Linked DNA regions of Lytechinus pictus. The protein of the gene in region 2 binds, or shares a complex with, the protein of the main gene of each other region. Links are inferred from orthologs where the notes say so. Each region holds a gene or a part of one and is shown on either strand. Other genes may lie near its edges.

The links.
Region 1: pre-mRNA-processing factor 6-like (region 2) and U6 snRNA-associated Sm-like protein LSm6 share a complex: the UniProt entries of both Homo sapiens proteins name them as parts of the U4/U6-U5 tri-snRNP complex. The link is inferred for Lytechinus pictus from reciprocal best matches to the Homo sapiens genes PRPF6 and LSM6.

Annotation. Positions count from the first base shown.
Region 1 is NC_087249.1:11,245,196-11,253,468, reverse strand, and holds the start of U6 snRNA-associated Sm-like protein LSm6, read left to right. Parts: upstream 1-4,422; 5' UTR 4,423-4,501; intron 4,502-6,276; 5' UTR 6,277-6,360; coding exon 6,361-6,469; intron 6,470-7,289; coding exon 7,290-7,403; intron 7,404-8,273. Other genes in the region: uncharacterized protein LOC129260504, read right to left, coding at 1,017-1,331, 1,999-2,296. UniProt on the Homo sapiens protein: Plays a role in pre-mRNA splicing as component of the U4/U6-U5 tri-snRNP complex that is involved in spliceosome assembly, and as component of the precatalytic spliceosome (spliceosome B complex).
Region 2 is NC_087245.1:8,319,703-8,327,961, reverse strand, and holds the start of pre-mRNA-processing factor 6-like, read right to left. Parts: upstream 3,473-8,259; 5' UTR 3,408-3,472; coding exon 3,316-3,407; exon of another isoform or gene 3,310-3,315; intron 1-3,309. Other genes in the region: MICOS complex subunit MIC27-like, read left to right, coding at 3,626-3,637, 8,083-8,259. UniProt on the Homo sapiens protein: Involved in pre-mRNA splicing as component of the U4/U6-U5 tri-snRNP complex, one of the building blocks of the spliceosome.

The DNA.
Region 1 (8,273 bases), on a different chromosome or scaffold from region 2:
ATTCCCAATTAAAACATGCTGGAAAGGAACCTTTAAACAAAGACCAACTGCTTACAAGTATAAAGACAGCTTTTGTCTCTAATAAGACTAATTGATGGTCTCCATCGATAGGTTCACTCTCTTATCAACAAGAGTGTCGCTGAGGCAAGCACATAATCTGCCTGCCTGTAAAGCGGAAAATGGAGTTATTGGTCAAGCAAGAAAAGTGGAAGGTGGTGACTTCACCTTTGACCTTCTGACCTCAAAATCAATAGAATTCCTGGGATCTATGTTAGTATCATACACACCAAATTATATTAGCCTAGGTTGAGTTAAACTTATATCGCGTTTACAAGGACTGCAGAAGGGTACAATGAAAACATGTCACTGTGACCTTGGCCTTTTGAACTCAAAATCAATAGGCTTCCTGGGATCCATGCTAGTATCATACACACCAAATTAAACTGAAGTTTTCGCGTTAACAAGGAAACCTGAACGGATGGAGAGACAGACGGACAAAGAGCATGATACCATAATACTTCCCGTCTAGGATGGGTATATAAAAAGATTAATAATTCAAAATATAAAGCCCCCCTTTCTGCCAAACCTGTATAAATTTATATACACTATCTCATATTGAAACTTTAATGTATTATTGAAGAATTATGATCTATTTCTGCAATTTTCACATACAGTAACCGTATGACCTTTGGGCTATATTGACATCTACTTCTAATAAAATCAACCTCCTTACTAAAAAAGAGTAAAGTTTTAAAATAATCTGTCTCATTATGGTTTTTCAGTTATCAAAAGGCACGAATTGGAAGGAAAAAAATCCCAAAACAACTAACTCTCGTATAAATTTTTGAATTTTCAATTATTGATCTAATATTTCAATGAATTGAAGATTTTCATTCTTCACGACATAGATGATCATTTACATGTTAGAATAAAACTCAATTATTTTAATAAAAGAGGGGGTATTACCACACACACCCCCACACACACCCACCCTCACACATACAACACATACCTACCATTCTTTGGGAGAGATGGCTCAAATTCTTCCAACGTCTTGACAGCGATGCTTAATCTCTGTTCGCGTAGAATTTTCTGAAGTTTCTTGGATGATTCGAGGCTTGATCCTTCTCTATTCCTCCACCTTATAAAGCACTGAAAGAGAGCTTCTTTGTAGTTTGGTGGTTTATTGCCACCAACTAAGTTGGAATATTCAACATCGCTTCCTGTGAGTTTCCGGCCAAGTGGATCAGCGTACTTTGGGCAGTCAATCTGGGAGGACAAGTCCAGCAAAAATCTATCATTACCCAAACAATTTGGTTGTTCTCCTTGTCCTGTAAATAAAAATAAATGCTATGTAAATAGGAGAATCATGAATATTTAGACTGCAATAGGTAGTCTACTTTATCAATATTCATTTACTATTTTTTTAATCTATTAATTTATTCATTTTCTTTTTTTTAATAGTCAATGACAATTATGCTGTTCTTTTTATGCATGTACAATACAAGCTTGAAATAATGAGTTAAGAGTTGGTGGTTATCAACTTTGATGAAATTACTCAGGCAAAGTACACCAATCCCCCCCAAAAAAAAAAACCCAAACTAAATAAATAAACAAACAAACAAATAAATAAATAAATAAAAAAAGGGAAAAAATAAAACAACCATATTAATAAAGCGATTAAAAAACTCCCTTTCTCTTTTATTACAATTTGGTTCTCAGTGACAAAAAAAGTGATAATTTTTGTCACAAAAACTAACACACCAAAAGATTAATGTGGAGAAAATGATACAATTTTCATTTATTTTCATTGTTATTAATCTAAGGGGCTAAGTTTATGCACCTCTCCGCCATCTATGCTACCATGTCTTATTTAATAAAATTCAAAATCATGTTGCAAGACTTCATTGTCATTTTTTTAAATTGGGTCACTTGTCATTTCTTGCAATTTATGTAACATTAACTTAATCACCATAGGAAACAATTGTATCAACTTACTTTTTTGAAACCAGGTTGCAACATCTGTCAATCCAAACTTGTTTAGAATCATAATCATTTCCCTGCACTGGCCATCTCCACATCCATTTGCATCTCTCCATTTAATAAAGCACTTGAAAACAACATTTTTATAGTCAACCGACGTTTTTCCAATAATATTGGCAACCTCAGCATTGGATTCTAATAAAGCAAGGCCAAGCTCACCATAGTTCTCAGGAGCATTGATAGTTTCAGAGAGTTCATATATTTTTCCGTCCTCAGATAAAAATGATGATATCTGTTGGCCCCCAGCAGCCATTCTGAAATTAAAGAAAGGAAAGTGGGATGAAACAAGACCAAGGTCAAGGATACCTCAGGTGATGGTTCGTATAGGCTCCACTACACTTCAGCTGAGAGTAGCGGTAGTGAAGTGTAGTGGAGCCTGGGGGAGGGGGGGGGGGCCCAGTCAAATTATGTTTTTCTCTGTGTGCAAAATAACCCCCTAAACAAGGATTTTGCGGGCTTCTTTTACACATTTTGGCCTCTAAACAAGTTGTCGAATATGATCCCCAAACAAGTTTAATCTACTTGCTAAAAATAAGCTATAGACAAAACTATATTCATGGGTATTGCATGCCCCCCGGTATAGGGTTAAAATCCAACAATCAGGAAGAACCAAAACACTTTTCAGAAACGAGGAAAAAGCCCTATAGGGTAAGAGCTTGGGGGGAAAAACATACCCTAAACACGTTTGGCTAGTCTTTAAAAAAAAGCTTTGGAAAAAAAAATACCCTAAATATGTTTGACCCAGCGATTGACCATTGACCAGTTTTTCAAAACAACCCTTTTTGGAAAAACGGTGTTTTTGATACCCTTAACGAGTGCACGCACAGCCCGTGTACAAAACTGAAAAAACACCATTTTAAGTTTAAACGCATTTTTTTGGTCACGCGTGTGTACAGCAATATATTTGACTGGCCCCCCGGGCCTATACGAACTATTGCCTGAGTTAGGTCAAGGAGAAACTGACCCATTTGAAAACCAGAAATTGGTTGGTCCTTTAAAAGCAAATAGGAATTAAATAGGCCTAGTCTAATTCAATAGTCAACAGAGATCAATATAGTTCTGATAGAACTCATAGATGCTCAAGGCTAAGTTACATGATACTGTATCATGTAACTTAGCTTGATACATCACAAAAGGAAAGGTAGCACATCTACTCCAAAATTGAAAAAGAAGATGAGCAAGGGCTTAAATTTAATAATCCAAATTCCAAGAAACACCATCAAAGACCATGGCCTATAACAGTTATACTCGTCAGACCTAACATTAGATCATGGATTGATCCTACTAGTATAGACCAAAAGCTTCGGTCTCTGTTATGTTGGTTGTTCAGCTGAACTCCGTTGGCTTCACTCACCAAATACAGAGACCGAAGTTCTAGCGCGATCTGTACAGGGGACTCAATGGCCATATGTTTATGTGTATTAAGTTTAAATAAAACAGGGCAGTGAAGTTGCGCGACAGCCGAGGTAAGTCACTGTTTTTGTTCCTTTTAACTTGATTTTCCCCGTTTTTTGGCAATTAATGCCAAGAGGGGATATTAATTTGCATTTCGGTCGCGTTAATTTTCAAAAGTTTGATTCATTCAAGACAAAAATTGAAGAGCCCCGACGGGGGGATTTTGCATTGTAAGTCCCCTAATGGTGGCTGCACGATAGCGAGCCGTCAGTGTATGAGGAGAAATTAAAAAAATAAAAAAATGTTAAAAAACTCCTCGAAACAGACGGCTGCCAGCTGTCTACTACTAGTACTACTCGAATCCATGTTGTTAGATCTAATGTTAGTCTACCTGCTACCTAACACATGTTTTAACAAGTTAATGGTTTAAGAATAAATGCATCTAGGATAATTTCTATTTCTAAACTTAAATTATAAGTTACCTCGGCTCAATTCAGTCACAGACACATGCACAGTTATATTAATATATATAGTTACGGACTTGGTTGTAAATGTAATGCCTTTTGAAATCGAAAATGAACTGGATCGAATGATGTATAGTAGATATCGCACTGGTTACGAACTTGGAAAGAGAGTTTGCTGGGATGAGCTTCTCCGCTTTATAGCTTTAGAACTTCACAAAATATGGCGTTGACTGGGCTTTGTCACAATTCGTGTGTGTTATTTGTGGCCGGTGGGAATCGCTCGGGAATTCCCCCAAACTTAGTCTGCTCTACAGCTTTGTGTGAATATTATTATTTAAAACTAGATTAAATTTCATTATAAATTCGAAGAAGATTAGAAAAAATTGAAAAGAAGAAATAAATATAAACATAATGAAATTATCTAAGTCGAATCAAACCCCCTGTATCCCAAATTACTTCACATAGAAGATAAAGAAAATTAATTGCAAGCTGCGTACTGACCCTGCCAGTTAACCATTAACACTAGCTTCACGCGAGAACTTTGACCATATTTTCCGGCGCTGCATTGCTAGCCGCTCATTTCCAGCTCCATAAGAAGGGTGAATATATAAGCATTAGATTTTGCCATAAATAAGGTTTATTTTTCTATATATATGTGGTATGGTAGTAAAAGACCCCATTGTGTTGACGGTACTTGTGTTTCCTCTTTTTTAGAATGATTAAGGTGTCGTTAAGACGTACTTATGTTTGCAATGACAAGATGATGACGAAAGTCAAATCAGACTTTGTCATTTTTTACTTCGGTCCCAGCCATAGCTATTGGTGTAGACCGATAAACAGTAGAGGCGCTGGTCCCGCGATCCCGCAATTAAAAGCTCTGTCTCAAAAGATTGGGATTGTCCCACTCATTCTATGAACAAGGTTATGATATACATGAACCTTGTTCTTATTTTCTCTTTTTTTTGGGGGGGGGGGGAGGGGACAAATGCTTGATTTTTTTGACACTGTCAGTTTCCATTACAGGCAAATTGAAATAGTAAATACAGCTACATTTCATCATATTCTCAAAGTAAATTTGATTCTTAAAATAGAGATTGAAAATGACAATTATCTTGCCATAGTACTTTCCACCGTCTATTTTTCACGACTTGCCGTCTTCCAATAATCTTGTTATGAAACCTGATATGTTTACATTGACTAGCACACTTGATTGGCGTCGGCACTTGACAGAAAAATTTCCTAGATTTCTTGTGATAATGTTTGCCAAAACTCATTTTTGTTACTCGCAAGCTCACCGGGGCACATCCGGTGAGTAGTTATAGTACAAATTATAAATATATTAAAATTTTACGCTTTTAAATTCAATGAAAAATAGCAAAATTGCTTACCTCGGCCTGAAAAGTGGTTTTGCATGTTTATTGAACCACGGAAGTAAAAGGAAGCCCGATGGCGCTAATAAATTTCATAACCTTTATTCAACTCATCGGTAGTTTTAAAACTGTGTCTAAGTTCAATTCCTATGATTGTTTGATAAAATATGGACACCAATAAATGCATTACCTTCCAAACATATTTTTAGATTATTATTACTGACGATAACACTTTTTTAAATCATTCAAAGCAATGACAAATTAACAAAAAATAAAATTCTATGTGCCTTGAACAAAACCAGCAGTGCGAGCCGTTGTTCGTTTGTCAACAAACAGTCCACCAAAGTCTACAATGAAAAGACTGGACACTTTGCCATCTTCGCGTAACGCTTTGCATCAATTTGCGTGTAAAGTAATGTCTTTACCCTGTAGTGTCTTTGATATGAATATAAATTGCACGCCCTCCTTAGTTGAAAATTGCTGTTCAAGGAGGGGCACAGCACAGACATCAACAGCAAGGAAAAATATTCTTTATTCAAAGTCAAGTTAGAAAAAAGTCACCAAAGAGAATATATATCATTCGGTAAGTGAAATAGAACAATTTGACTTTATTTTAGATTTTGTCAAAATACCAAATTTCGCGCAATCCCATGGATGGAAGTGTTCCATCTGGACTCCAGGAATCTCCAAAGAAGTGGAGGGATCAGCTAAGAGAGAGAGTTGCATGCATCGTGCCTTGATTTTCCTGTGCATCGTGGCATGTAATGAACGTATGGGTGTTTGCCTTGATTTGCAGATAGTGTTTGGAAAATTGTGTACTGAGGAAAGGTAGTCAAAAAGTCAGTCCAAGTTGAAGATGTAAGTCTGAAATGAATGAAAGTCTGAAGTTTATATAATTCGGCTCTATAGGTTTGCCTTATACTCTCGCATAGATATAATTTCTATAATTGTTATATAGCTTTATTTTGTTCTCACTCCAGTCAATTTTTCTACTTTGTCACCAGCTCTGAGAGTTGCTGTTTTATTTGGTGATCCTCAAACTTGGATGAACAGCTGTGTCAGGTAGTGACCGACTAGCTCTGTGCATCATGAGTACTGCTACTACTACAGCCAGGAAACAAACTCCTAGTGATTTCTTAAAGCAAATCATCGGCAAACCAGTTGTTGTCAAACTAAATTCAGGTGTAGATTACAGAGGTAAGAAAAGGGCATACTTCTCTCAGGACTTTCATTTTCTTCTTTTTTTCTTCTAGGTCTATACAGTATATTTAAAAAATCTGGTGTTTATTCCTTTTTTCTTTATGCTCCCTTTTCCCCTTTCTTCCTCAATTGCATCTATGGCTTTTGTATGTGTATTCATTCTCCTGCTAATCTTGTTTATTTTTCCCATCTTTTTTCATACTTTCCCCATTTTTTTCCTTATTTTTTATCACCTTCCTGCTTCTATTTCTTCATAAAAATAAAAAATCATCATATATATTTTTGAAATTGTAAAAAATTGGTGTTCATCCTGTGTCTTTGTATCCAGACACACTATTACATGCAAGCTTCTATAAAAGACATATTAATTCATTGTGAACTGTAAATAACGCAATATGTAAAATTTCGAATAAACAACAAATATCATGGATCAGCTCACAGATGATGTCACAGAATAATCAGAACAGAAAATTTGTTATAAAGTTTATAGTCTTCATATTATCCTTCTGTATCTAATGTAAAAAATTGTAATCTCATGAAATTTATATTATTCAATTTTTTTTCAATTTATTTTATTTCATTTTATTATCATTTTACTAGTACTAGTAGTATTTTTTTTCTTATTGTCATTTTTATTATTATTATTATCATTATTATTATTATTATTATTATTATTACTATTATTATCATCATCATCATCATCTTCGTCATCATCACCATCGTCATCATCATCACCATTATCATCATCACCATCATCATCTTTGTCATCATCACCATCATCATTAAGTACTATCATTACTACCATCTTTTTTTACAGGAGTTCTTGCCTGCTTGGATGGATACATGAACATCGCCTTGGAGCAGACAGAAGAGTATGTCAACGGTCAGCTCAAGAACAAATATGGTGACGCTTTCATCAGGGGAAATAATGGTATGCTCTATTGACACCTTAAAACTAACCCCAAACCGACTAATGCTATCCAATATTTCTCTTCACATGTTAGTCAATTTGCATTATTCAGTGTTTCATAATGCATGCTGCGCCGCCAGCATTCATTGTCATGAGAGGCTTGCTGGTCGACACACTTTTTCCGTAGACGTATAAAATAGCATGGGCCGTGGTCTGCAAGTCAAGTGAAAACTGAAATATATCCAACCGAAGGATAAATCAGTGGTGGATCCAAGGGGGGGGGGGGGGGGGCACAGCCGGCCTGTCCCCCCCCCTCCCTTTGAGAGCCATAATCAACATTTCTAATGTAAAATATATACTGGTTTTACCCGCTTTTGAAAGTGAAGACCTTTTTTTTTTGCTTGTCAAATTTTCAATTTACATTTCATCTTAACCATTATAATGGGGAATGCATGATAGCCACTATGAAAAAAAACACATAAAACAGGGAATCAGTTTTATAATTATGAGGGGAGCAATAAAAAGCTCTCCTAAAACTTTAAGGGGAGTGGTAGGGGAGCACGGCAAAAAGCTCTTATTTTACATTTCAAAGGGAGCTTTTTTTTGTCCGATTAATGGATAGAGGAATGTACAATGAGCTACAACCCACAACCAAAGGAGACAAAAATCAGATGCCCTGAATATATGTAATGTTCATATCACTTCAAATATGTGTTATTGCTTAAATGTAATTGTGTAATGAGGTTTTCAGGGTCGGCTCTAACAGTTCGATCATTGACCGACACTCGTTCTACATTCAGGTAGATTGATGTTAGAATAGAGATTATACATGAAAGAAAAATGTTGTACAAACAATACAAAAGTGTATGATGTTCCTTGATTTCTATTTTT
Region 2 (8,259 bases):
TTTACGCTCAGGAGGGCCCTGCATCGTATACATCCAGATCCAATTAATTTTTCTTTTAATTTCTTTTTGAGTTTCAATAATTGATATTAGAGTATCCCAAAGGTCAAAGGAAGCCCCCTGTCAGCAATGAAGAGACAGGACGTCTGGAGTATGGTAGTGGATCGTATTACCGAACACTTTTCATGAATTCAGTCATATCAAACACATTATTCTCTTAAAATTCATAAATCTTTCACCAAAAATACATAATTACCTACAAAATATAAATATGTAAAAATTTTGCTGAAATCGTTTTTTTATTTTACGGTATTAGCTTCCAATCGGACCCCTCTTCGCATGAAATATTTTGGTCACTTGAAAAAGGTATGGTATTACCGAACGTGTGTTTTCTATGGGAAAAATTGAGAACCCAACAAAATCACTAATGGGCTATTTTGACCATATTTTATTATTTTTAGAATATTAAGATTTTTTGAAAATGTGCTTTTGACCATTTTTCATCATCTTTCTATTCAAGTTCTCTTTGGAAGGATGTTGCAAAGTTTAGAGCATATGAAATTATTTTCTGACGCGTACGCTGCGCGTGTGCGGTAATACAAGGCCGGTAGGTAATACAATCACTCACTATCGAACGAGGGACAGGATCCGGGTAATCTGGGGCCCGTTTCTCAACACCGTCATAAGTCTAACTTCTTGACTAAATCGGAGATAGTGAGCTACTTGTCCGCTAACCATTTCACAAAGCCCTCTTTACCAAGATCGGGTACAACAACCTCACTAAATATTTATGACACATCCGAACCTGTCATAACTTCTTTCTCGATGACGTAGTGGCATCACGTGGGTAGACTATGACATGCAAAAGTGCCTAGAAATTTTAAATTATAATCTTACGTAATCGATCATAGAGGTTGAAAAGGACATCACAAAACAAGTGGGATATGCATTCAATGATAATTGTAATACAAAGAAACTATAAAAACTGTTGGTAAAACGCCACAAAACCATTCATTTTGAAATAGTAAAATGATTTAATCGATAAAGATTCGATAAAGATTCTAGCACGTCAGGCCATCCATAACTGAACTTGTATTTGTTGTTTTCAGACCCCTATTAACAGTTGGATAAATTCTATCTCTAATTTATGCATATAATTTGTCAAATATCGTATGTTTCGGTATCAATGATTAAAAATGTTTTGTTATTCTATATTTTGATGATGTTTGGAATCGTAAGAGACCGTATAATTATAATCATTTTACAAAAAAACCCATCATGGTTTACTTTCGTAAACTATTGAAATTGGATATCCCGGGGGTACCCATCTCAACGTCCAGAAGTGATTTTTTAGTCATGAAATTAATTATTCATAATTTAATTTTCTCTGCAATTGAATGCTCTAGTCTTCATGGTCTAAGTATGTATGATGCATAATTCACCTGTGCTATTATTTTGAAAAGATTTATTTCCCAATTCATCACAATATTTGCAATTTTGTCATAATTTTTCTTTTTGAAAATTATGATATTTTGTGACTAAGGCTACGTCTAGTTTTCTCTTTTTATCGATAGTATCGATATCAAGGTATTCTAGTTAGGAAGCCTTTTGAGAAACAGGTTTAGTAAGAGTGGTTGGTGGATAAAGATATGACAAACTTGTCCAGGTGTTGAGAAACTGGCCCCAGGGGCCCGTTTCTCAACACCGTCATAAGTCTAACTTCTTGACTAAATCGGAGATAGTGAGCTACTTGTCCGCTAACCGTTTCACGAAGCCCTCTTTACCAAGATCGGGTACAACAACCTCACTAAATATTTATGACACCTCCGAACCTGTCATAACTTCTTTCTTAATGACGTATGGCATCACGTGGGTAGACTATGACATGCAAAAGTGCCTAGAAATTTTGCAATTATAATCTTACGTAATCAATCATATAGGTTGAAATTACATCACAAAACAAGTGGGTTAATGCATTCAATGATAATTGTAATACAATGAAACTATAAAAACTGTTGGTAAGACGCCACAAAACCATTCATTTTGAAATAGTAAAATGATTTAATCGATAAATATTCTACCACGTCAGGCCATCCATAACTGAACTCATATTTGTTGTTTTCAGACCCCTTTCAGACAGTTGGATAAATTCTATCTCTAATTCATGCATTCAATTTGTCAAATATCGTATGTTTCGGTATCCGCAATGATTAAAAATGTTTCATTGAACTACATTTTGATGACGTTTGGAATCGTAAAAGACCGTATAATTATCATCATTTTACAAAGAAAACCGTTATGGTTTACTTTTGTAAACTATCAAAATTGGATATCCCGGGGATACCCATCTCAACGTCCATAAGTGACTTTTTAGTCATGAAATGAATGATTCATAATTTAATTTTCTCTGTAATTGAATGATCCAGTCTTCATGGTCTAAGTATGTACGATGCATAATTCACCTGTGCTATTATTTTGAAAAGATTTATTTCCCAATTTATCACAATATTTGCAATTTTGTCATAATTTTTCTTTTTGAAAATTATGCTATTTTGTGACTAAGGCTACGTCTCGTCTGCTGTTTTTACCGATAGTATCGATATCAAGGTATTCTAGTTAGGAAGCCTTTCGAGAAACAGGTTTAGTAAGATTGGAACTAACTCCGCGGTTGGTGGATAAAGATATGACTAACTTGTCCATGTGTTGAGAAACGGGCCCCTGTAAGATACGATCATGTAAGTTAGGATAATAACAATAAGAATAAATTTAATATTCAATAAATCACCTAAATGACCTAGACTTCTAACTTAGATCTAAAAAATATAAGAAAAGTGGGAGAGTAAAGATTTAGGAAAAGAAAAAAGCCAAGGATAGAGAGGAAGGAAAAAAGAAACGAAAACTTTTTGTTTCTTGTTTTTTATCTTCATAATCTTGGAGTTGGAAAAGAAAGAAGGAAAAAAAGTAATGAACTGGCGGTAGAATATGACTGGCCGCCATTAACTATTTTATACCCAACAAACAACAACGTATCAGTATCACCTCACAAGTCTGACTGAGTCTGAGCCCGAGGTTGCGCTGAGCTGACGAAACCGAAACGGTTATCGGCGCGGCCGAGGCGAAGTTCAGATCATGGCCAGCCGGCCAAGCGGGGCCCGGGGCAGGCAAGGCTAGGTTGAGGCTCAGGTTACGGTGGCGGTACAGACAGTCAGTGCTATTACTATACATGCTATAATATGTCCAGATACCGAACTGAAAAATGTACGGTACACTGGCGCTTGTTGACTAGTCTAAAAAGGAACAATACATTTATCTACATACCCTCTACCCAATCCAGGAACATAGCCCAATGGAGCGGGCATGTTCATGAATTCCCGACGTTTCTTGTTGACGAGTGCACCGGGCGCTGCCATCTTGAACAGATATCGACTCGATTTTAAACCGGTACGGTACTTGATGACACGTACGGTACCGCCCGGATATGGAGCCCGTATATCGGTTCACGTATCCGGTTCGGTTAGTTATAGTCCACGAATTGTTTCTGAGACGAGACTGAGTCGTCAGTCGAAGATAAATCAAATTCTCTACTTGATCTAGTACTAAAGGCCCAGGGTAAAGTGTGAATTCAGCAATGTCTAGACAGGTATAGTAATACCATATTTACACAAAATTTATGATGGCGTTTATTTCTGAATACTGAGCGAAATATGCAGAGTTCTAACGTTACAATACAGTTAGGTCCTACACAAAAACAGTTTCTTCAACGAGTGGGACTGAGCTGAGCAGTGAGTGAGACTGTAAAAATATGTATGAAATAGGGGGGGGGGGGCATGTTTGACGTCTGCCTACGCTACGAATTGTTTCTGAGAGTGGTCTGAGCTAGCTGAGTTGAAGTTAAATCAAATTCTCTACGAGATCTAACGTGTTGGATCTACTAAGTCTAAAGGCCTAACCCAGCCCCAGGGAGCTCCCGCCCGCTCAGCGGGCGCCCGCTGCGCGGGCGGGAGTTCCCTGGGTTACTAAAGAGTAAAGGCCCACTCACACGTATTGCGAGGTTAGTACTAGTACTAGTATTACTAATACTACTACTAGGGACTAGGGTGTCTGAAGCCACACTAAAAAGTGTCAGCATAAAACAGGCTGATTTAGGGGAAAAAATTGCACATTTTTTCGGGAAGTTCAGGGGCCCGTTTCTCAACACCGTCATAAGTCTAACTTCTTGACTAAATCGGAGTTAGTGAGCTACTTGTCCGCTAACCGTTTCACGAAGCCCTCTTTACCAAGATCGGGTACAACAACCTCACTAAATATTTATGACACCTCCGAAGCTGTCATAACTTCTTTCTTAATGACGTAGTGGCATCACGTGGGTAGACTATGACATGCAAAATTGCCTAGATATTTGAAAATAATGATCTTACGTAATCAATCATAGAGGTTGAAATTACATCACAAAACAAGTGGGATAATGCATTAAATAATTCTAATACAAAGAAACTATGAAAACTGTTAGTAAAACGCCACAAAACCATTCAGTTTGAAATAGTGAAATGATTTAATCGATAAAGATTCTACCACGTCAGGCGCCATCCATAACTGGACTCGTATTTGTCGTTTTCAGACCCCTATTAACATTTGGATAAATTCTATCTCTAATTTATGCATAGAATTTCTCAAATTGCATGTTTCGGTATCAAATATTAAAAAAAAAATATTAAACTATAGTTTGATGATGTATGGAACCGTAGAAGGGCGTATAATTATCATCATTTTACAACGAAAAACGTTATGGTTTACTTTCGTAAACTATTAAAATTAGATGTCCCGGGGGTACCCATCTCAACGTCCACATGTGATTTTCTAGTCATGAAATGAATTATTAATAATTTAATTTTCTCAGCAACTGAATGCTCCAATCTTCATGTTCTAAGTATGTATGATCCATAATTTACATGTGCTGTTATTTTGAAAAGATGTATTTCCCAATTCATCACAATATTTGCAATTTTGTCATAATTTTTCTTTTTGAAAATTAGGCTATTTTGTGACTAAGGCTACGTCTCGTCTGCTCATTTTACCGATAGTATCGATATCAAGGTATTTTAGTTAGGAAGCCTTTCGTGAAACGGGTTTAGTAAGATTGGAACTAACTCCATGGTTGGTGGATAAAGATATGACTAACTTGTCCAGGTGTTGAGAAACGGGCCCCAGGCTGCTAGAAAAATGTGATCTGAATTGATTATTAACTTGTGTTTGGCATGTATGTATGGAAAGAGAAAATTCAGGGGCTTCTTTTGACAGTAAGGACAAGTTTATATGATCATTTTAAATAAGGATTTAGAGATAAATTGCAAACCCTTATTTGTGTGTGTGTTGAGATTGCCATTTCCCCATGCGTTTTCTATGGGAAAATGAAATGTCTGTTTTGCACAATTTTTTTCACTTTGTCACAATTTTTCATTGTGATCTGGTTTCCAAATCTTTATAAAAATCATACCATCAGAAAGAGCATAAAAAATCCTATTGGACTCTTTATGGACAAGTTTTTGGCATTCATGATAAATTTATAACACTACAGCTCTCGGAAGCTAAAAATTTGGAATTGTGTGTGTCCATTTCTTAACTACCGTACTCAGTCTATGGCAGAGAAATGCTGAAAATTGACCTAATTTCATTCTTCTTTTTTGCAGCCAATAATTTGATTTTTTCAAAAATGTTACATTTCTGTCAGTTTGAAGGTCACTTCTCTTCAAATTCACAAAGAAAATGTGATATTTTCTTGAAATAAGAAAAATAATTTTTTTTCTCCAGACACCCTACTAATACTAGTATACTAACCTCGCACCATGAACCGCGTTTGGCAGTGGATTTCTAACTAGTGGGTCGCGAATGCTGGGATCTCACTTCTGGTGTCCACAACACACGACTTCTATGGCTTGATTTTTCTGTGCGCGGTGGCATGTAATGAACCCTGGCTTGGGTGCTAAGGCCCAGAGCTGCAGAGTAAAGTGTGAATTCAACAATACAGCTGGCAGCCGTCCGTTTCAAGGAGTTTTTTTTTACATTTGTATTTTTTTTAAAATATCTCCTCGTAGTCGTACACAGACGGCTCGCGATCGTGCAGCAGCCATTAAATTAGGGTCGGAGGATAAAAATGCAAAATCCTCCCGACAGGGCTCATTGAGTTTTTTCTTTATTTCATAAAAATATATAATAAGAACGGGACCAAAATAAAGATTATTAATATTATTCTGTTTTGGCCCGAAATGCACCAAAACAGGAAAAAATAAACTTAAAAGGACAAAAACAGTGATTTACGTCGGCTGTCTCGCAACTCCTATTCCTTGGTTTGTCCGAACTTTATACATAAACATATGGTCATTGAGTCCCTGACTCCAGCTCCCTGTACAGATCGAGTTAGAACTTCGGTTCTAACTTCAACTGAGTTAAGCGGAACAACCAATATAACAGAGACCGAAGCTTTTGGTCTAAGCAATGTCTAGACTCTAGAGGTGCACGGCCAATAATGGGAGACTGCTGTTTTGTGACTAAGGCTACGTCTTGTCTGCTCTTTCTATCGATAGTATCGATATCAAGGGATTCTAGTTAGGAAGCCCTTTGTGAAACAGGTTTAGTAAGATTGGAACTAACTCTGTGGTTGGTGGATAAAGATATGATTAACTTTTCCAGGTGTTGAGAAACGGGCCCCAAGTCTCCAATATGGGAGATTGTCTCCCTGATTGGAGAGTCTCCCATATTGGCTGTGCGCCTCTACTGTTTGTACAAAATTTATGAAATATGCAGAGTTCTAACGTTACACTACAAAAACAGTTTCTTTAACGAGTGGGACTGAGTGAGGTATTAACAGAGACTGTATGAAATAGGGGGGGGGGCATGTCTGCCCATATAAAAATGTAACTTAACTAAACATGAATTTATTTTTATTTCACAAAACATTCACAATCTGATTTAAGAAAAGTTAGGCCCTACGTTAGATATAGGCCTAGCTAGATCGATTATTTTCTTGTAAAAAACCTTGCCTCGGGCTGGCCCGTCCAGACAGTATGCCATGGCTGCTCACCCATTTTTTTCTAAACTTTCTTGCTCTCTGAAAGAACTTTGTATCAATGCTTTTAAACTGAACTCAAAATGAAACTGACCAAACTTTACAATACAAGGGCACTGCACAAATTCCACTCAGTCAAAATGAAAAGTATTTTGAGATTTTACACTAGATTCGATGATCTTAATTAAGCACACTATTCAATCACAGAGATACTACACTGTAGTCTCTCTGTGATGGAATCAATCTCTTAATTATTGACATGTTTTTAATTAAGATTATTGACTCTAGTACAGCCCCTCACATCTATTGGTTTCTGAATCGAAAGTCAAAAAGGGAGAAAGAAATCTCGGCACTAGCACATGTCGAATTTAGGGTGTGCTACTCAGTGCATAGTTTTTGTTTTGTTGTTGTTTTTTACTTGCACTTGATTTTCAATTGAACGCAAAATTTCTTGCAATGCTTCTTTAGTCTGGACCACTTTGCAACATCATTCCAAAGAAAAAATTAAATGGAAGATGAAAAAAGGCCCCCCCCCCAAAAAAAAAAAAAAATAATAATAATAATAATAAATTTCAACAAGTTAAAATCTTTTATTTTCTCAAATGATAACAATAATTGATCAGTGACCTTGTTAATTTTTCCCACAGAAAAAGACAAGTTCAGTAAATACAATTCCATTTTCAAGTGATCAATTATTTCTTTTACAAACATTGATGAGATCGTGGGACAAAGAATATTGATAAAACAGTCCCTTGATCACTCATTGCTAATTAAAAACCCATCAAGGATGGACCTGTTTTATGTTGATCTATTAGTCAAAACCAGGATTTTTTAATAAATCATAAATGAATGTAGTTAAAATTCTATATTGTTTTTGTTGTAATGATGTTTAAAGACATTTTGGAGTATTTGTTTTATGTTGTATAGAATCAACACAAACAAGCTGGTTGCATACTGGCATGTAACTTTCATTGTAATCTTCATGACACAAGTATCTTATTTTCATGCTTAAAATTTCACAGGTATTTGTAGCATTGAGGTATGGTTCCATGCCCATACTGGGGCTAGGCCTCCTTCAAGTCAGAGCTGGTGAAAGTCCAGGTGAGGACATGGCCCTAACAACCTTGGTAAAGCCTAAAGATCTTCCAGTATACAGTGAACCCAAGCAGACCGAATACCAGCTGATACCTGAAGGACCT